Coturnix japonica: one gene and its partners. Each later gene encodes a partner of the first gene's protein in a complex. Links are inferred from orthologs where the notes say so. Each region holds a gene or a part of one and is shown in the gene's direction. Other genes may lie near its edges.

What was found.
Region 2: the proteins of NEDD4L (region 1) and YWHAG are in contact, whole or in part, in a crystal structure (PDB 6ZC9), measured with the Homo sapiens proteins. The link is inferred for Coturnix japonica from reciprocal best matches to the Homo sapiens genes NEDD4L and YWHAG. Residues at the interface, in NP_001138439.1 of Homo sapiens: Pro444, Arg445, Ser446, Leu447, Ser448, Ser449, Pro450; in NP_036611.2 of Homo sapiens: Lys50, Arg57, Arg61, Lys125, Arg132, Tyr133, Gly174, Leu177, Asn178, Val181, Tyr184, Glu185, Leu225, Asn229, Leu232, Trp233.
Region 3: the proteins of NEDD4L (region 1) and AMOT are in contact, whole or in part, in a crystal structure (PDB 7LP3), measured with the Homo sapiens proteins. The link is inferred for Coturnix japonica from reciprocal best matches to the Homo sapiens genes NEDD4L and AMOT. Residues at the interface, in NP_001138439.1 of Homo sapiens: Lys202, Asp204, Leu206, Arg208, Tyr210, Val212, Asn213, His214, Arg217, Thr218, Thr219, Gln220, Trp221; in NP_001106962.1 of Homo sapiens: His235, Arg236, Gly237, Pro238, Pro239, Pro240, Glu241, Tyr242, Pro243, Phe244, Met247.
Region 4: the proteins of NEDD4L (region 1) and SMAD3 are in contact, whole or in part, in an NMR structure (PDB 2LB2), measured with the Homo sapiens proteins. The link is inferred for Coturnix japonica from reciprocal best matches to the Homo sapiens genes NEDD4L and SMAD3. Residues at the interface, in NP_001138439.1 of Homo sapiens: Glu392, Glu393, Arg394, Lys398, Gly399, Arg400, Tyr402, Val404, Asn405, His406, Arg409, Thr410, Thr411, Trp413; in NP_005893.1 of Homo sapiens: Glu178, Thr179, Pro180, Pro181, Pro182, Gly183, Tyr184, Leu185, Ser186, Glu187, Asp188.
Region 5: the proteins of NEDD4L (region 1) and SMAD7 are in contact, whole or in part, in an NMR structure (PDB 2LTY), measured with the Homo sapiens proteins. The link is inferred for Coturnix japonica from reciprocal best matches to the Homo sapiens genes NEDD4L and SMAD7. Residues at the interface, in NP_001138439.1 of Homo sapiens: Arg394, Asp396, Lys398, Arg400, Tyr402, Val404, Asn405, His406, Arg409, Thr410, Thr411, Thr412, Trp413; in NP_005895.1 of Homo sapiens: Glu203, Glu205, Ser206, Pro207, Pro208, Pro209, Tyr211, Ser212, Arg213, Tyr214, Pro215, Asp217.

Annotation. Positions count from the first base shown.
Region 1 is NC_029547.1:653,725-657,240, forward strand, and holds part of NEDD4L (E3 ubiquitin-protein ligase NEDD4-like), read left to right. Parts: intron 1-232; coding exon 233-306; intron 307-1,413; coding exon 1,414-1,474; intron 1,475-1,800; coding exon 1,801-1,860; intron 1,861-2,387; coding exon 2,388-2,495; intron 2,496-3,027; coding exon 3,028-3,124; intron 3,125-3,516. UniProt on the Homo sapiens protein: E3 ubiquitin-protein ligase that mediates the polyubiquitination of lysine and cysteine residues on target proteins and is thereby implicated in the regulation of various signaling pathways including autophagy, innate immunity or DNA repair.
Region 2 is NC_029534.1:3,157,035-3,159,784, forward strand, and holds the end of YWHAG (14-3-3 protein gamma), read left to right. Parts: intron 1-631; coding exon 632-1,288; 3' UTR 1,289-2,234; downstream 2,235-2,750. UniProt on the Homo sapiens protein: Adapter protein implicated in the regulation of a large spectrum of both general and specialized signaling pathways. Binds to a large number of partners, usually by recognition of a phosphoserine or phosphothreonine motif.
Region 3 is NC_029519.1:12,266,900-12,270,415, forward strand, and holds part of AMOT (angiomotin), read left to right. Parts: intron 1-429; coding exon 430-591; intron 592-1,974; coding exon 1,975-2,893; intron 2,894-3,516.
Region 4 is NC_029525.1:17,086,053-17,089,568, forward strand, and holds part of SMAD3 (mothers against decapentaplegic homolog 3), read left to right. Parts: intron 1-1,675; coding exon 1,676-1,888; intron 1,889-2,898; coding exon 2,899-3,036; intron 3,037-3,516. UniProt on the Homo sapiens protein: Receptor-regulated SMAD (R-SMAD) that is an intracellular signal transducer and transcriptional modulator activated by TGF-beta (transforming growth factor) and activin type 1 receptor kinases.
Region 5 is NC_029547.1:1,082,939-1,087,189, forward strand, and holds the start of SMAD7 (mothers against decapentaplegic homolog 7), read left to right. Parts: upstream 1-1,435; 5' UTR 1,436-2,298; coding exon 2,299-2,797; intron 2,798-4,251. UniProt on the Homo sapiens protein: Antagonist of signaling by TGF-beta (transforming growth factor) type 1 receptor superfamily members; has been shown to inhibit TGF-beta (Transforming growth factor) and activin signaling by associating with their receptors thus preventing SMAD2 access.

The DNA of each region.
Region 1 (3,516 bases):
CTGTTTTGCAATAGAAGTTGGAAAATAATTTATTCTTAAGAGTGACCGTAGAATAATTTCTCCCTAATTATGTCACCCTTAAACATGAAATATTTTGATGTCTCATTAGCTATTGATGTGTGATATTTTTCTAGTACTGCTTGTAAAATACCTCTCATGGGTGGTGGATTTCATGAGGAATGTGTCCTGAAATAATGCCCTGTTTTATTCTATTTTTTTCTTTAAAATACAGACGTATCAAGTCGACCTGAAGCCAAATGGGTCAGAAATCATGGTAACAAATGAGAACAAAAGGGAATACATTGAGTACGTATATATTTGTAGAGTTCACCCTGAGCTTCACAACACACAGTGGTAATGCTTTGGAATTTACCCCACCGCAGTTATTGTAACACAGAGATTGTCAGACATCCTTTCAAAAGAAAATCCCTGTGTTAACATGGTTTGTTTGTTTACACTGCATTCCTAGAAAGTTTGGATTTTAACCTTTGCTGTTCGATGAACTACTGTAATTATGGCAGCCTATGTCATGTAGTAGGAAACAGTATTGATGCGCTGGCATAAGGAGCATTCAAGGAGGTATGGAATTGCCCTGAATGACTGCAGACACCAGTCTAAGTTACTCATTCTGAGCACCCTCCAAAACTGATGAAAAAAAATGGCCTTTCATGGGTACAAGAACTACAGTGTTACAGCAGGATATGAATCTGGCCCAATTTCATGCCTCACTTTGTGCACTGGCGGCCTCTGCTTTGTAGGTCTCCTAAGTGGTGAATTTCCACCCTGGGCTGCAGTTTTTCCTGCTGAAGTGCTATCATGGAATGCAAATGAAGAATAAGTGCAGAACAGAACAGTAAACTAACAAGAGAAAAGAGTGAAAATAGGACGTCACGTTGCTGAGGTCACATTTGCTTTCCCTTCAGTTTTTATTCAAGGAAGGGTTCAGGAACTCTGCACGTGTTTAAGTACTCCTTTAAGAGGATTACTGTGTACTCATTTCCAAACATTTGATGCAGTTTAATTTTTTCCAATGCTTTTCCCAAGAGTTATGTTATGATTAAGGAGTTCTAGTTGGTGCACAAGGAAAGAAAAAGAAGAGAAAAAGAGAAAAGGAGAGAAACTGCAGTTGTAGTTACAAATCTGCTTAGAGCTCTAGAATAATAGGAAAAGTCTCATCGTTTAGATACTTATTTCAAACAGTAAGTACATTACCTGGGGTCTAGACTACAATCTTGCTTAGAATAGAACATAGTAATGAATTTGTAGGCTGTATAATTTAATAAAAAGCAACTCAGTATCTCAAACATAAGAATATGACTGAGAGGTTCCTAAAGTTGTAAATGAGAAGCTGATATTGTTAGGGTTGCAAATTAGTCTTCTAATGAATGTGTTTATGTTTGTTATCTCCCACAGCCTGGTCATCCAGTGGAGGTTTGTAAACAGAGTTCAAAAACAAATGAATGCTTTTTTGGAGGTAAGGTTCTCCTTTTTGTCCTTTTCTTTACCCAAATTATGTAGGCATACAGCAGTGCCTGGTTACGGGAGTGGGAAGCTGTGCATGACCACACAGGTTCTGTTACTCATAAGATCATTCTCATTCAAGTTGACATTATTTGAGCTCGAAATAGCAGTTTTTAAATTAGAGACTCAATACTTCAGGAACTGTATATTTCATTTTCCAAACCCTTCTTTGCCCTCCATCACTTAGCTAACAGCTTTCCCTGAAGGCAAAGGTTCTATCAGAAGAAAAAAAAAACCACGTAATTACACATAGTTTACTGATTTTACTTTTTCTCCTAGGGATTCACAGAGCTTCTTCCTATCGATCTGATTAAAATTTTTGATGAAAATGAACTAGAGGTGAGTTTGCTTGATGTCGAGAGATGACAGATTGGTAATGCCCATTGCAGAGATGCATTATGTTCTCAATTCATTAGGTCATCATGGAGTTTGGAGAAAAAGGTTCTTTGTTTTAGTGGGAAATGAGGATTTTTTTTGCCCAGAATAATAAATCTCTCAATCAAGTAAAAGTACAAAAAGTATCAGTTACTCACTGAGGTGGTTTAGTACATGCATACATAAAGAATGCAAGTAGTTTGCTGAGTTAATGACATATACTGGCCATGTTTTCAGCAAATGTGCTGTAAAAGATGCCATCACATGAAGCATACATACTTCATATTGCATAGTGTTTCTCCAGTAAAGTGGGGTTATCCTTGAGAATTGTCCTGAAGAGAAGCTCAGTGCCACTTTATGTCTGTATTTGTATTTGTACAGCATTAACTGTTTGAGAGACCAGGCAACAGAGGGAGAGGTGGTTTATCTGATGAAGCCTTCAGGGTGATACTGGTACTATCTTTGATTAACATCATTGTTTCCATATCTAGTTACTGATGTGTGGCCTTGGTGATGTCGATGTTAATGACTGGAGACAGCACACGATCTACAAAAATGGCTACTGCCCAAATCATCCCGTCATCCAGTGGTTCTGGAAGGTAACACCCTTATCATGTTTGGTTTCTCTGACGATTCCTAGAAGTCAAAGATCCTTTAGTGTGCAGTGAAGTCAGTTATTGAATCATTTTTCTTCTCAAAAACTACGGAAAAATACTTTGGTATATTCTGGAAATGGCAGTTCCATTACTGGAGTCTGTATCGGAATGACCCAGACTGACAAAGTCTCTCCAGTTTTATTGAAGTGGTTTGCAATCTTTCTGAAGTGCATTACTTCTATGAAAAGTGTATGTTTGCAGGAGAACTAGGAGAACAGTTTTCCCTGTACTAGCCCAGAAGTCTTGTGAGTGAGTCACCTCATACAGATGAATGGCAGTTGTAGCTCCTGGCTGTTGCCCAGACATTGTCACTTTCTTTGTTAGAAGGGAATTGTTTAACCAGAGAAAATGTGGCAGGCCATCCTTCAAAGTTAGATATCCATTTCTTACCACGTAATACAAATAAATTCTGTTTTGCTTATTTTAACAAAGATATCTTTAGCCATGAAAAGTCACCCTGTCTGCTTCTCAACAGGCTGTTTTACTGATGGATGCAGAAAAACGCATTCGCTTACTGCAGTTTGTTACTGGCACATCGCGAGTGCCTATGAACGGATTTGCTGAACTTTACGGTGAGCTTCCTGCCCTCTGCCCACAGAACACACACTGCAGGTGGCGAGCACAAACACCACTGAAGTACAGGCATGGCCAACATTTATTCCCAGATAGAGCTTCTCCCACTGGATGCCAACAGCACTGTAGAAACTGGGGGGCGCTTGGAAGAGAAACAAAGTTCTGTTCATGGAATCATAGAATCGTTTGAGTTGGAAGGAACCTTTAAAGGTCATCTAGTCCAACTGCCCTGCAATGAAGAGGGACTCATATAGCTAGATCAGGTTGCTCTGAGCCCTGTCCAGCCTGACCTTGTATGTCACCAAATATGGGAAATTCACCACATCTCTGGGCAGCCTGTGCTAGTGCTTCATCACAGAATGGCCCCAATTGGAGGGGACCTCAAGGATCA
Region 2 (2,750 bases), on another chromosome or scaffold:
GCTCTGTGCTGCGTTGTGTGAGGCAGGGGGAAGCGATACGGTGCATTAAGACTCTTATTGTCAATGAAGAAAATCCCATGTGGGAAGAACATGCTCTTGCCACGTGAGCTTTCAAATCCTTATCTCCGTAGATGCCTTAGGCAGCTGTAATTTTAACATCTAACGTATTCTTTTGGCATCTCAAAAGAATGTATAATGCTCATGGGAAATGGAAAAGCTGAACACGCCGTAGCTGAATTTTCCGTCTTGTTAATCCATTCAGCTAGCTTGTAACTCTAGAACATCACCACCCATCTCAGTGCTTCCTCTCATCAGCATCTTCCCTCAGGTGAAACGCACCCATTTCCTCTGGGATTTCTCTCATTCTAGAAAACACTGATATTTCTAAGATGGAGGATACCTTGAACAGATCCCAGGCTCTATGATAGTGAAGTCCAACCATCAACCCATGGCTCCAATGGGACTTAGATGGTCAGAGAGGCCTTTTCCAACCTTTATGATGCTGGGGTTTGGGCCGACTCCATTCTCCCACTCCTACCTGGAGCACTTCAATGCTGAGTTGTGATGGGAAACAGCGAGTGGCCCCGTGGTTAACCTGAGCCCCTTTTTCTCTCTTCCTCTCTTGGTACAGGTGACAGAACTGAATGAGCCTCTGTCCAATGAAGAGAGGAACCTCCTGTCCGTCGCCTACAAGAACGTTGTGGGGGCACGGCGCTCGTCCTGGCGAGTCATCAGCAGCATCGAGCAGAAGACCTCCGCTGATGGCAATGAGAAGAAGATCGAAATGGTTCGGGCCTACCGTGAGAAGATTGAGAAGGAGTTGGAAGCCGTGTGCCAGGACGTGCTGAGCCTGCTGGACAACTACCTGATCAAGAACTGCAGCGAGACGCAGTACGAGAGCAAAGTCTTCTACCTGAAGATGAAGGGAGACTATTACCGATACCTGGCTGAAGTGGCCACCGGGGAGAAGAGGGCGACCGTGGTGGAGTCTTCGGAGAAGGCCTACAGCGAGGCCCATGAGATCAGCAAGGAGCACATGCAGCCGACCCACCCCATCCGGCTCGGCCTGGCGCTCAACTACTCCGTTTTCTACTACGAGATCCAGAACGCTCCGGAGCAGGCCTGCCACCTGGCCAAGACGGCGTTCGACGACGCCATCGCCGAGCTGGACACCCTCAACGAGGACTCCTACAAGGACTCAACGCTCATCATGCAGCTCCTCCGTGACAACCTAACGCTCTGGACAAGCGATCAGCAAGACGACGACGGCGGAGAAGGCAACAATTAGACCCCCAGATGGACTGGCAGCCGCACGCTGATGCTAACTACTGCAGTCTTTATTTTTTTCCCACAAGTGGGGGGGGTCAGGGGTGGGGGAGGGAACGGGAGGGGACACCTTCCCTGGGAGGCCCCCACAACCTGTCTTTGATTGCCTCTTTGACATTTTTGCCAAAACACCACTAGTGGAAAGTCAGGCTGGCTGTGCTGGTTATGGAATAGCAGCCTCACTGGCATATGGACTGTTCTGTAGATTATTAATACAAGTGGAGCTGTCTTTAATTTAACTTTATTGCTAGAAATAAAAGGGTTTTAAGATGAATTAACATGGAACGGAATGGCCCTCGTTTTTAAGAAAAGCAACACAAAAGGAAGTTCTGTGGTTCCAGTAAGGCTTTGTGCGTTTGTTTCCTCAGTTCACGTGCCGTGTGTCCGTACCGGAGCTCTGCCTGTCAGGGCCTCACTTCAAATCCCCACATTGAAAAGGAATCATAATTATAATTAAGAAAAAGACCCAAGAGTTTGGGGCTCGTAAAGCCCTGGGATTTAGGCCATTTGATCTTTTTTTGTGCGTGTGTGAAAAGATATTAGGGTAGCTTACAGTATTAACACTAAATTGCAGTTTACAGTATTTCTACATTACAGCCATATGACATCAAGCCTTTGATTGTCTGTTTTCTTTTGCTGGTTCTTTTGGCTTGCCTTCCTGATCAGTCCTCGCCTGTGGACTGGCTTTTAGCTATTCTGTGTCTCCCAAGGCAAGAAGACTGCCTGCCCCAGGAACATCAAAGCTGCTCTAGTTTTCGGTCAACAGCTTAACAGGTGCTTGGCTAGCGGCTGTTTAAACTATTTTAGTCCACAGCAAAAGGTTTAAGAACTTAATTAGGAAAAGGGGGAAGTGTTTAAACTTAAAAATGCCACTGAAAAAAAAAAAGGAAAAAAAAAAAAAAAAAAAAGAAAAAAAAAAGATAATAAAATTAATAATAATAATAAAAAAGAGAATTCAGGTCTGTATGTCATGTACTGTGTTTGGTATTTCAAAGACCATCCTGATTTAAGGTGCCACAGCTGCTTCCTCAGGGATTGCACTGCCATTTCACTCTGCCTGACTTTCTCCCACTGTACCATGAGGTTTGTCAGCAGATCTCAGGCACCCGGGCTCCCTTGTCGGTCACCAGGGAAGCCAGGTGCGATTTCTTTCTCCTGGGGAAGCTTGTGGTGTAATGAGTGAACTTCAGGAGCTTAGAAACTAATTTGGTAGAGAAATCCTCAAGGGAAGAGCTACAATCATAGACATTTCTATCAAGCATCGGGAGCCCAGGAACTTAGTTCTCTTCTTAACAAAAACCTTTTCCAAATCTCTTATCCGGGCGGGGGGTGGGAGAGGGCCATCTGAGTTGCTTAGCAGGTGATATTTACCCCATTTTTTGAGTGGATTTTGTTACTTAACTGTTGGAAGTTCACTGCTGCCC
Region 3 (3,516 bases), on another chromosome or scaffold:
GAAGCACGTAAGCACAGCAGCTTTCGTTAAAGGATTTCTGCTCTAATTTGCAATATACAGTACCACTGAAAAAGGAGCTGAAAGTGCAGAGTATCGTCATCTGTGCTGCAGCTTTCATTCTTAGCAAAAAAATAAAACAATGGAGTTAAAGAATTAGAGGGTTTTAATCACTGTTTCACTTGGAGGCGCAGATGGAACAGAGCATTACTTGGCAACATTTAATCTTGGAGCAGAAATTGTCGTGATTAAAGCAGCAGCTGGAGTAGATTGTTAGGGACGTGGGGGCTCATTCATCCTAAAGGGATCAGAATTGCCGGGCTCTGGGAGAAAACAAGAAACTACAAAGAAAAATAGTAAATATGGGCCAAGGTTTGTTATTTCTAGGATCTCATCTGCCGATTAAAATGATGTTTTCAATGCTTTCCTCAGAATTATTTTGGAAGCGAGGAGAGTATCAAGTGATCTGTTCCACTGAAGAGGAGACTGAAGCCATCTCTGAGTGGAAATTTTGGACGTGCGGGAGGAAGGCTGTATCCCCCCATGTGCCAGAACCGCTCCTCCTTACCAAGGAAGTCAAAGTGAAGGACGTAGGTATGTGCCACTTCAAACAGGATTTCAGAAGAACCACTTCTCTGGCCGTTCAATAGAACCCAAATTTGTAGTTTGATAAGGCAGCCTGGGCGGAGGTGGATTTTAACTTTCCCTTCATTAAAGTTTGCGGAAGGGTTCTGTCTGCCTGACCCACTGAGGCCTTGTATTCCAGTGTTAGACTCCTGTGGTAGGCAGTCCTGAGGGAGGAAACTGGCTGGTTGTGGAGGCCTGGAGTGAAGCAGACCTCCAGGTCTCCTGACTCCTGCAGCTCATCCCTGGGTTTGCCACAGAACGAGCTAGTGTGTGCAAATTGCCACTACCTAAGGGACAATGTACAGAAAAAAAGGTGCCAGAAGGTAGTGCCAGAACACCAATGTGTGTTTGTAAAGCAGGCTCTGTTCTGAACTGTTCTGGCTAAGAGGTAGCTCTGCTTTTAGTTAAATGCCTCAGAGATGTTACTCATTTTGGATATTTCAGCTTATGCAAGGCCAATGGCTATGCGTTTCCTTGACAAATTCCTGACTCTACTGGGAGATTGAGTGAGGGCTAACTGCTGTTGGTTACTGCCTGTTGAATTTGCGCATTGAGTTTGCTCTTTGAATTTCTCTCATTGGTTCACAGTGCTTTTTCCTGTCACTTGTAGATCTTTTTCTGTGCCTTAGATCAGACAACTATTTTCCTCTTGCATTTGCATGTGTTCAGCTGATGATATTTAGATGTGTTAGGATTTGGTTACCTTTGTATAGCAGGAAGTTACAGAGTCCTCACTTGCCCCATTATGTACTGTTTTCTGTAGTAGGGAGACTAGGTACTGATCTCATTCTGCATATTTATTAACTCTAAAAGTCTGCTGGCTATCCAGGTATTCATTACTTGCTTTAACTGATCTAAACTAAGAGATGCATCTGCTTCCTGTGAACCATATGCAGTCTCAACAGAACTTCTTTTTTCCCCTTCCTTAAAGCTGACAATTTGCTGATTTCACCCTTTTATCTTTGCCTGCCTGCAAACATGGGAAACTTATTTCACTGTTGGTAGCTGTAAGTACAAAACAAACAGGGCTCAGGCATTTTTACCGTCATGCTATGAATTATGGGTCTCCTTTCTCCTGAAAGCAGCCTTGCTGTCTGAGGTATTCAGCCTGTATCTCTGCAGCTTGCAGTCGATTGATATTCCTATAAACTTGCAAGTCACCTTTCATCACCTTTGAGTCTTTGCCCCCTAGCATTCAAGTTCTTAGGTCTAAGGGCCTTAATGACCCTTATTGTTATGGGAACCTTTGGTAATCTAACCTGCCTTTTTCTTCTGTATTTTAAGCTATTGGTCTTAAATGTCTTCTGCTTGATCTACTCAGGCGCTAATAACCGTGTCTCCTTTCCTTAGGTCAAGGGCAGCTTTTACATTCCACCCAAAAGGCACCACAGTTTGAGATGAGGAATTCAGAAGAGCAAGCAGCTACGACAGTTTTACAACGCCTGCTGCAGGAGCAGCTCAGATACGGAAACCCAAATGACAACCGTAACCTTCTTGCCTTACACCAGCAAGCCACAGGAAATGCCCCCCCTTTCAACAGCACTGGGAGTCCAGCATCTCAGAACGAAGGGCTGAGCTCCCAGGACCACCAGCTTGTGACTCATGCTGCCCGCCAGGAGCCCCAGGGCCAGGAAATACAGGTGGACAACAGCATCATGGAGAAGCAGCTCTCTCCGCGACTCCAGAACAGTGAGGATCTCCCAACCTATGAGGAAGCCAAAGTGCAGTCGCAGTATTTCAGGGGCCAGCCGCATGCTAGTGTCGGGGCAGCGTTTTATGTAACGGGGGTGACCAATCAAAAAATGAGGACTGAAGGGCGGCCCACGGTTCAGCGGGTGAGCCCAGGGAAGGTCCACCAGGATGAAGGACTTAAGGACCTCAAGCAAGGACACGTCCGCTCCCTGAGTGAGAGGCTGATGCAGCTGTCCTTGGCCACCAGCGGTGTCAAGGCGCACGCGCCTGTCACAAGCGCTCCACTCTCCCCTCTGTCTCCTCTCTCTCCTCAGCAGTCGAGCGACCCTTATAAAAATTCTGGCTCCAGTGAGTTCTACAAGAACTCAGTGCAGCCCCCTTCCCAGCCCAGCATGAAAGGGATGGAACAGCGGGGTCCTCCTCCGGAGTATCCTTACAAAAATGTGTCCACCCCATCTATGAACTGCAAACCTCAGGACTCGGGGCATTTCTATAGCGATCATCGTGTGAGCCAGCAGGGAAGATCCGATGGGCCTATGATGAGGTATCAGCATCCCCCTGAGTATGGGTCAGTCAGGTAAGCAAGATCTTAAAATGGCAGCCAGATAAGAAAAGAAAGCATAAGACTCAGTCCACTGTTTTCACTCCCGAGGTAGATTATCTTTCAGCAGAGATCTCATCTCTTTTATATGAGACTACGTATTGTGTTCAGCTGCAGACGGTGTCTGGAAGAACTGTAAGTTCTTTCATTGACTTAGATAGAGAGACCTGACGCCTTTTAGAGAGGAAAAAACTGCACCACCAAAAAAACAAAAACTAAAAAACAACAGACCAGCTTGATTTTTATGGCAAGGTGAAGTTTAATGCTGCTCCAGAGCCTTGCAGAAGGCTTGCTTTAAAGAAAGGGGAAAAAAAAGGTTGTGGTGTGATTCATTCTAGAAACTTGCAGTTACTTATTGCAGTTCTTAAGCTGTGCTTTAATTGCATCTGCCAAGGGAAAAGATTTTTTTTCTTTTTTAAGGTTCAAGCTGCACCTAAGTGCCACATAGGAAAGGAGAAAGTGAGTGAAAGCAATAATAGTGAGGGGAACAAAAATGGCCAGAGCTTCCCTTAGAGTTTTCCAGATTTTTCTGTGGGCCAGCACGTAGGAGTGGAGAATGGTGTATGCTTTGTTCCTCATTCCAGACTTGCTTGTTTGGC
Region 4 (3,516 bases), on another chromosome or scaffold:
TCTCTCTCTGTTTGCTAAGAAAATAAAATGTAAAATCTAAAGAATATAACGTGTATTTTTTTGAAGTTTTACTGCTAAGGAAGTAATGTCCCAGTGTTACAACTGACGGTTTATTTGAACAGAACTGCCTGAAGCTTTTAAGACAGTTTACTTTGTGTCAGCTGAACTTTGGACTTCATCCCATGGCCATATTCCAAAGAATTACAAAGACCATAAACTAGCATGAGGCAAGCTGGCTAGAACAATAGGAGCAAGGTTGGTTTGAGCTGCAATTGTGTGTATTTTGATACCAAGCTGTAATTGATGGAACCTGGGGACTTTCAGTTCATCTTTTCATCCACGGACAAAACAAGGTGTTGCACGGTAACGATTTGGGACCTTTTGTCTCCTTTCTGCTTGTGCAGTGGCTTTGCAAACATTCTGGTTTTGATTTGGACCCTTCAATTGTCAAACATAAGATGTAACTGGAAGTTGTAGGTACCCGGTGATCTCTTCTGTATCGATGAAGTTTGAACTGGGAAGAATACAGAAAGCCCCAGTGAAAGCAGAGCTGCCAGCGCTGTGTGGACACTCGGAATGAAGTCAGGGAGTTTATCCTGGCTGAGGGCCAGGCCTGAGGTTGCATGCATGTTATTTGGGAGCAAGGCAGTCCCTTGGTGCACAGGAAATCCATTGTCAGTGCTTGCTCTGCAAATGACTTGACGCAAAAGCAGTAAGTGAAATAAGCACATGCCCCGTGGGCAAATCCATCAGAAACATAAGCCTCTGTGACTCCGTGTTGAAACACTATTTTTCTAAGCAGCGCAGAGGGAAAGGAAGTGAGCACACTTATTTATCTTGTTGCTTCTGAGGGAGTTAGGAGTAACTGCAATTAGTGCAGTTAGATAACATAAATCAGTAACTTCTGATGAACAGAGTTTAACAAACACCCCAACCACAGCTGGGGTTAGAACTGTTCTTAGAGCACATCATAGAGAGTGCAGAGCCTTCCTCTGCTGAAACTGCAAGCATCACTCCTTGGATTCAGGGGGAGCAGTTGAATCACCCAGAGCCATCTGAATGCCCCACCTTTCACTTGGCTGCCTCAGTCTGTAACCCCAGTAAAAGAAACGTTACCACCTATGGGGGAAATGGCTTTTCTTTTGAAAATGTGAAATCACTTGGACTGGAAGAAATAATCTTTTGATTATTGTGAAGGCAGTTATGTACAGTGTGTCAGTGTTAAAATAGCTGCAGAGATCCTTGCAGTCAGAGAAGTGGGGCTTGCCGGCTGCTTTGCACAGCATCACTGCAGGCAGGTTTGTGCTCTGCCCTTCCTAAGCTTTTCTTCTTCTTCTCTCCTCTCCTGTTATTAGGGTACTGCCTACCTACAAGTGGTCCCGTGCTTCATAGAAAAGCTAACTTCACTTTGAGGATTTTCTCCAAGATAGTGGAGTGACACCCCACTTACTCCATGACTTATATCTTTGACTATTTTGATTGTTCCACGTGCCAAAAGAATCAGGGGTGATGTAACTTCCTCGCTGCACTCCATTGAAATCTGTCAAGTAATTAAAGCTCGGTGGTTGCATTGAGCCCGAGGAATGAAGCAGAACAATATTTCAGAACAGGCGCTTTCCTCATCCCCCCTTTTCCTAAGGGCCTGTGACTCATTTTGCTTCTTATTTGTGTGCAGATCTGCAGCCCGTTACCTACTGTGAGCCGGCGTTCTGGTGCTCCATATCCTACTATGAACTCAACCAGCGCGTGGGGGAGACGTTCCACGCCTCGCAGCCCTCCATGACTGTGGATGGTTTCACTGACCCGTCGAATTCTGAACGCTTCTGCCTTGGTCTGCTCTCTAATGTGAACAGAAACGCAGCAGTGGAGCTCACCAGGCGGCACATCGGTAACTTCTGTCTCCTTATTTTCCTTGGTGTTTTTCAGGGCGGAAGGTGGGATCTGCCCTTAGAGCCTTTTAGTTACCTAATGGCATGCAGCTCTGTCCATTTTAGGACGCCATAGGATTGCAGTATCCATGGTGATTTGGGTTAATCCACCATAAAGGAACACTAATTGTATTCTTTTATAAAAATACAATTAAAGAGGCACTGAGAAACACTCCAGTAACTGCGTTTAACAGAGATGGAGTTTGTATTCTTGCACACAGTCTAAAGAACTTCATTTGGGTGGACATTATAGATCATCTTATGTATTCCTTATATTCCCCTATATATCTTTTTCTGGACAGTAAAGGTTCTTACAGGAGGATCTTTCCTTCCTTGTAAACTGATTTGTAGCACTGAAAAATAAATACAAAGAGAACAGCAACACACTCACACAGCAAACACGAGCCAGGATTCAGAAACCAGTCCTTAATTCAGCAGGTTCCTTGTGCAGCATGGAAGAAAGAAAGCAGGGCTTTGAAATAGCCATGTAACACCACAGCTAATATTTATTTGTGTGACAGAAATGAATTCCTGGATTTATTAACTGAGGTTTTAATAATATGTGCAAACTCTTATAAGAAGGGTGTGTCTGTCCTTGTGTACAAATACAGTCTAAAGGAAAAGGCAGCTGTTTGGAAACACTGGATGTTTTAATCCCAAATCAGTAATGAAGTAAATAAACAAGCAGTTGTATGCAGCTGTGGTGATTCAGAAAAGGTTGAAAACTCTATGTTAACCAGTGGTACATTCGTATAGAAGGTATCGTGGTCGTTGCTGTTTGGGAGGTGGTGAGACTGTGCAGCCCAGTCTGGCTGGAGCCCAGGTCTGAGCTGGTTTTCATTGCCATCATTCATGGTTCAGCTGCTTTCTGAGCTGTCAGGTGTGGAGGCTGTGCCTCTTCCCACTCACCTTCCAGGTTTTGCAGGTGGCCGTTCTGAACTAACCCTGACCTGTGCTCTGTGTTTCTCAGGAAGAGGAGTGAGGCTGTACTACATCGGCGGGGAGGTGTTTGCTGAGTGCCTTAGTGACAGCGCCATTTTCGTCCAGTCTCCCAACTGCAACCAGCGCTATGGCTGGCACCCAGCAACGGTCTGCAAGATCCCACCGGGTAAGGACACGCGCGGGTAGGAAGAAACAGTGCTGCACAGTTCAAGCAGGATCTGCCGTGTATTCAGCACAGTGTGTCGATGTTGTTGTTGTCTAATAGTCCTGCTTATAACTTCATATGAAAGAAGGTAACTTTGGATTTTTTTCTCAGTTTAGATTAGCCCATAATAAACTGTTGCTGGTTTCTGTTCTGTAGTGCAGCCTTTTTTCTGTGAGCTTTATTCTAGAGAAATTAGAATAGAATCTAGAATGTCACTTGTGAGGTATGCTGAAATGTCAGAGGAGACATTATTGTGTGTATTTGGGAAAAGCTGCTATTTTTGTTAGATACACACATGAGCTGGGATGAGAAGATGCTTTTCAAAAGGCTGTTTAGCCAGGCTTCCAAAACCTGCTGCTTTTTTTTTTTTTAACATTTAAAAGTACTTATATGTTCAAAAAGTAACTTTTTCATTTAGAAATACTTGAATAAAGATCCTCT
Region 5 (4,251 bases), about 430 kb from region 1:
TACAGCATGTGACATGTAACATACAGCATGTAACATACAGCATGTGACATGTAACATAAATCATGTAACATGTAACATGCAGCATGTAACATGTAACATACAGCATGTAACATGTAATATGCAGCATGTGACATACAGCAGGTAACATAACATCAGGGAGCACATAACATTTAACACATAGCAAGTAACATCTTACAGCACTGTCATATGTAATTTTAAATATGTAACATGTAACATTAACATAACATACAGCGTGTAACATGTAACGCCATACAGCATGGTGACATGTAACAGCATGTAGCATGTGATACCATCTAGCACTGCAACATGTAACATGCCATATGCCATGTAGTATTATATAGCACTGCAACATGTAACATGCCATATACCATGTAGTATCATATAGCACTGTAACATGTAACATGCCCTATAGCATGTAACACCTGGCACATAACACACTAGGTAGCACACAGCATGACACACAGCATGTAGCATGTACCAGCGCTGCATGCAACACCCAGCAGGCAGCACGCTGCATGCATGCAGCACCGCACACACAGCACACAGCGCATGGCAGCCCTGCAGTAACACGCCCCTATGCAGGAGCTGCCCCACACTTATGGGGGGGGTCCCCATCCCTTAGGGCTCATTGCCGGGGGTCACCCCTGGGGACCCCCCTCTCCCTGCAGGCAGCAGGACCATCCCATTCCCCCCCCCCCGCCGGGCACCCCGCGTTGCGCAAAGCGCCGTCGGATCAGTGCGGGCGGATGGAGATAAATATATAATTCCTTTTTTTTCCCCTCCCGGAGCGACGCGCTGTCTAGACGCCCACGTGATGGGGCTGCGCGCAAACGGAGCGGGCGGGGGGGAAAGGGGGGTGGGGGGGAAGGGAGGCAATAGGGAAAAAAAAGAAGAAGAAAAGGGGGGCGCGGCCACAACGCGCACGCACCGTCGCTTCTCCCCCCTCCTCCCTACACACACATACACACCTCCCCCCGCGCAAAAATAATTAGGGGAAAAAAAAAAAGGCAAAAGGGAACGACGGAGCCGCGGCGGTGCGGGTGTGTGAGCGGGGAGAGCAGGGGAAAATAGGGGCAAAAAGAGGAGGAGGAGGGAGAAGAATCACCGAGAAAAGCCCGAGAGGCTGCGGGGAGGGTGGGGGCGGGGAGCCGCGGCCGCGCTTACATTCCGCGCTTCATTCGCCCCGTTTCTCTCCTTGGCAGAGCGGAGCGGAGCGGGGACGCGCGATGCTGCTCGCTCCGCGGACGAACGCGCCGAGGCCGCTCCGCACGTAGGGCCGCCGGGCTCCTTTTTTAGACTTATTTTACATTTTTATTTTTTTAAAGTTTTTTTTTTTAATTATTATTATTTTTTTATTTTTTAACCTCTTTCCCCCCCCCCCTCCCTTCTTCTCCCACCCCCCCCCCCCCCCGCCCCGTCCCTTTGCCTCGCCCTTCTCCATTTTTTCCGCCCCTCTCCCCCTCTCGTCGCGGTGCGTTGATGGGAGCTGCGGCCCCCGGCAGCCCCACGGCTCCCCCCGGCTCTGTGCTCTCTCCGCACCCGCGCTGGGCCGCCCCCCCCCGCGCGATGCGCCGCGGAGCCGCGCTCTGAAACCGCGCCGATTTCTCCCATTTTCCCTTTTAATCCTTTTTCTCTCCTTTTCCTAAAGGAGAGCGGCACCCCCGGGTTTTTCTCTTCCCCCCCCCCGACTTTTTTTGCTTTTCACCTCTCGCAGCGTGGGCAACCCTTGAGTGCTGCTCACTCCTCTCTCCCCAGCCAAGCAAAGCGGAGTGAAACTGCTCCTTTTTCTACCATTTTCTTTTTTGTTTTCCTTTTTTTTTTTTTTCCCCTCTCCTTTTTCTCTCCTTCACTTACTAAAGGGGAACGGCACCCCCGAACTCTCCCTTTGCTTACCCGCTTTTTGCTCCCCTTCACCTCGCGGCGCGGTCACCCCTCGCGCTGCCCACCTCCAAGCAAAGCGCCGTGAAACTGCGCTGATTTGTCACTTTTTTGCGTTTTTTCCCACTTTTATCTTTTCGTATTTTTAAAGCCGAGCACCGCCTTCCCTCCGAGCTCTTTCTCCCCCGCTTTTTTTCCCTTTTACCTCGCGCAGCACGAGTGCCCCTCACGCTGCGCACCCCCCCGGCCATCAAAGCGCGGAGCCTGGCGCATGCACCACCCCGGCCGGGCCCCCCCCCCGCTCGCCGCTGCCCCCCGCCTCGCCCCGGCTGCCGGCCCCTTCATGCTCGGCGCACGCCATGCCCGTGCCGTAGCCGGGGGCCCCTCCTCACGTCCCGCATGTTCAGGACCAAACGCTCGCTCCTCGTCCGACGGCTCTGGCGGAGCCGCGCACCCGGCGGCGGAGAGGAGGAGACGGGAGACGGCGCAGCGCCGGCCGAACCTCGGCCGCACTCATGCGGCGGGGGGAACCGGGGGTGCTGCCCGGCCAAACCCCCCCGCGGGGGCGGCCGGGGGGCGGCGGAGGGCGAGCTGAAGGCGCTGACCCACGCCGTGCTGAAGCGCTGCAAGGAGCGGCAGCTGGAGGGGCTGCTGCGCGCCGTCGAGTCCCGCGGGGCGGCCCGCACCCCCTGCGTGCTGCTGCCGGCTCGAGGGGAGGCGCGGCTGGGAGCGCAGCGGGACGCGCTGCCCGCGCTGCTGTGCCGGGTGTTCCGCTGGCCCGAGCTGCGGCACGGGGCGCCCCTCAAGCGGCTCCGAGGCTGCTGCCAGGCCGACGGCGCGGCGCCCACCGAGCTCGTGTGCTGCAACCCGCACCACCTCAGCCGCCTCTGCGAGCTCGGTAAGGGGCGATGGGCGGGGGGATGTGGGGACGGGGTGAGGATGGGGGCGGCTCTGATGTGGGGGTGGAAGGTGGTCGTGGTGTTGGGTGGGGGTGGCGGTGAATTGGGCCGGGGGCTGGGGGTGATTCTGTCCGAGGGATGGGTGTCGTGGCTTTGTGATTCTGGGTATCCCACATCCCAACTCGTGTAGTGTGCACTGGGAGTTGACAGATGGGGTATGTCCTAGGGGTGGAGTTGGTAGGGATGTGGGGATGGAGGTGGTGGTGGGGATGGAGTGTGTCCTGGGGTTTGAATTAAATTGGGATGGGGCTGGAGATGATGACATGGGGCTGGGAATGGAGTGTGTCCTATGGATGGGGTTTAATGGGGTGAAAATAGAGGTAGTGAAATGGGGATGGTGATAGTGATATGGGGCTGGGGCTGGAGTATGTCCTAGAGATGGCATTAAATTGGGATGAGGCTGAAGTGTGTCCTAAGGATGGGATATGTCCTAGGGTTGGGGTTTATTGAGGTGGGAATGGAGGTAGTAATGGGGATGGAGTATGTCCTAAGGATGGTATTGAGATTGGGCTGGAGAATAGTGATATTAGTGATATGGGGCTGGGGCTGGAGTATGTAATAGGGACAGCACATAATGGGGTGGGAATGGAGGTAGTGAAATGGGGATGGGACTGGAGGTAGTGGTGGAGTTGGAGTATGTCCTAGGGATGGGGTATAATGGGGTGGGAACAGAGGTAGTGAAATGTGGATGGAGATGGAGGTAATGATGGGGATTGGACTGGAGAGGTGGGCATGGAGTATGTCCTTGGGATGGGGATGGGGTATAGTGGGATGGAGATGGAGGTAATAAGGGTGGGACTGGAGGTCCTGGTGGGGATGGCATGTGTCCTGGGGTTGGGGATGGAAGCAGTGGTATAGGGCTGGAAGTGGGATATGTCTTAGGGCTTGGGTATGTGTTAGGGATAAGGATGATGGAGGTAGTGATACAGGGCTGGAGCTGGATATGTCCTAGGGGTTGAGTATGTCCTAGGGATAGGAATATAATGGGAATGATGGGGCTGGGGTATGATGGGGTCCTGGGACTGGGGCTGGGGTATGGCCTGGGGATGAAGATGGTACTGGTATGGGGATGGGGTCAGGAATGAGCTATGGCCTGGAGCTGGGCTGTGGCCTGGGGACAGGGATGGAGGTAGTGATATGGGGATGGGGGTGGGTTATGGCCTGGGGCTGGAGTGTGGGGTTGGAGGTAGGGATATGGGGATGGGGCTGAGGTATGGTCTGGGAATGGGAATGGAGGTAGTGATGTGGGGCTGGGGTCAGGGATAGGGATGGGGTTGCAGATGGAGGTGGAGATGGGTTATAGGAATAGGGTAGGGAATCAGGTTGGGGTCATGAATGGGGATGGGGTTGCAGATGGGATGGTATGGAAGTGGGGACGTGGGAGATAGAGATG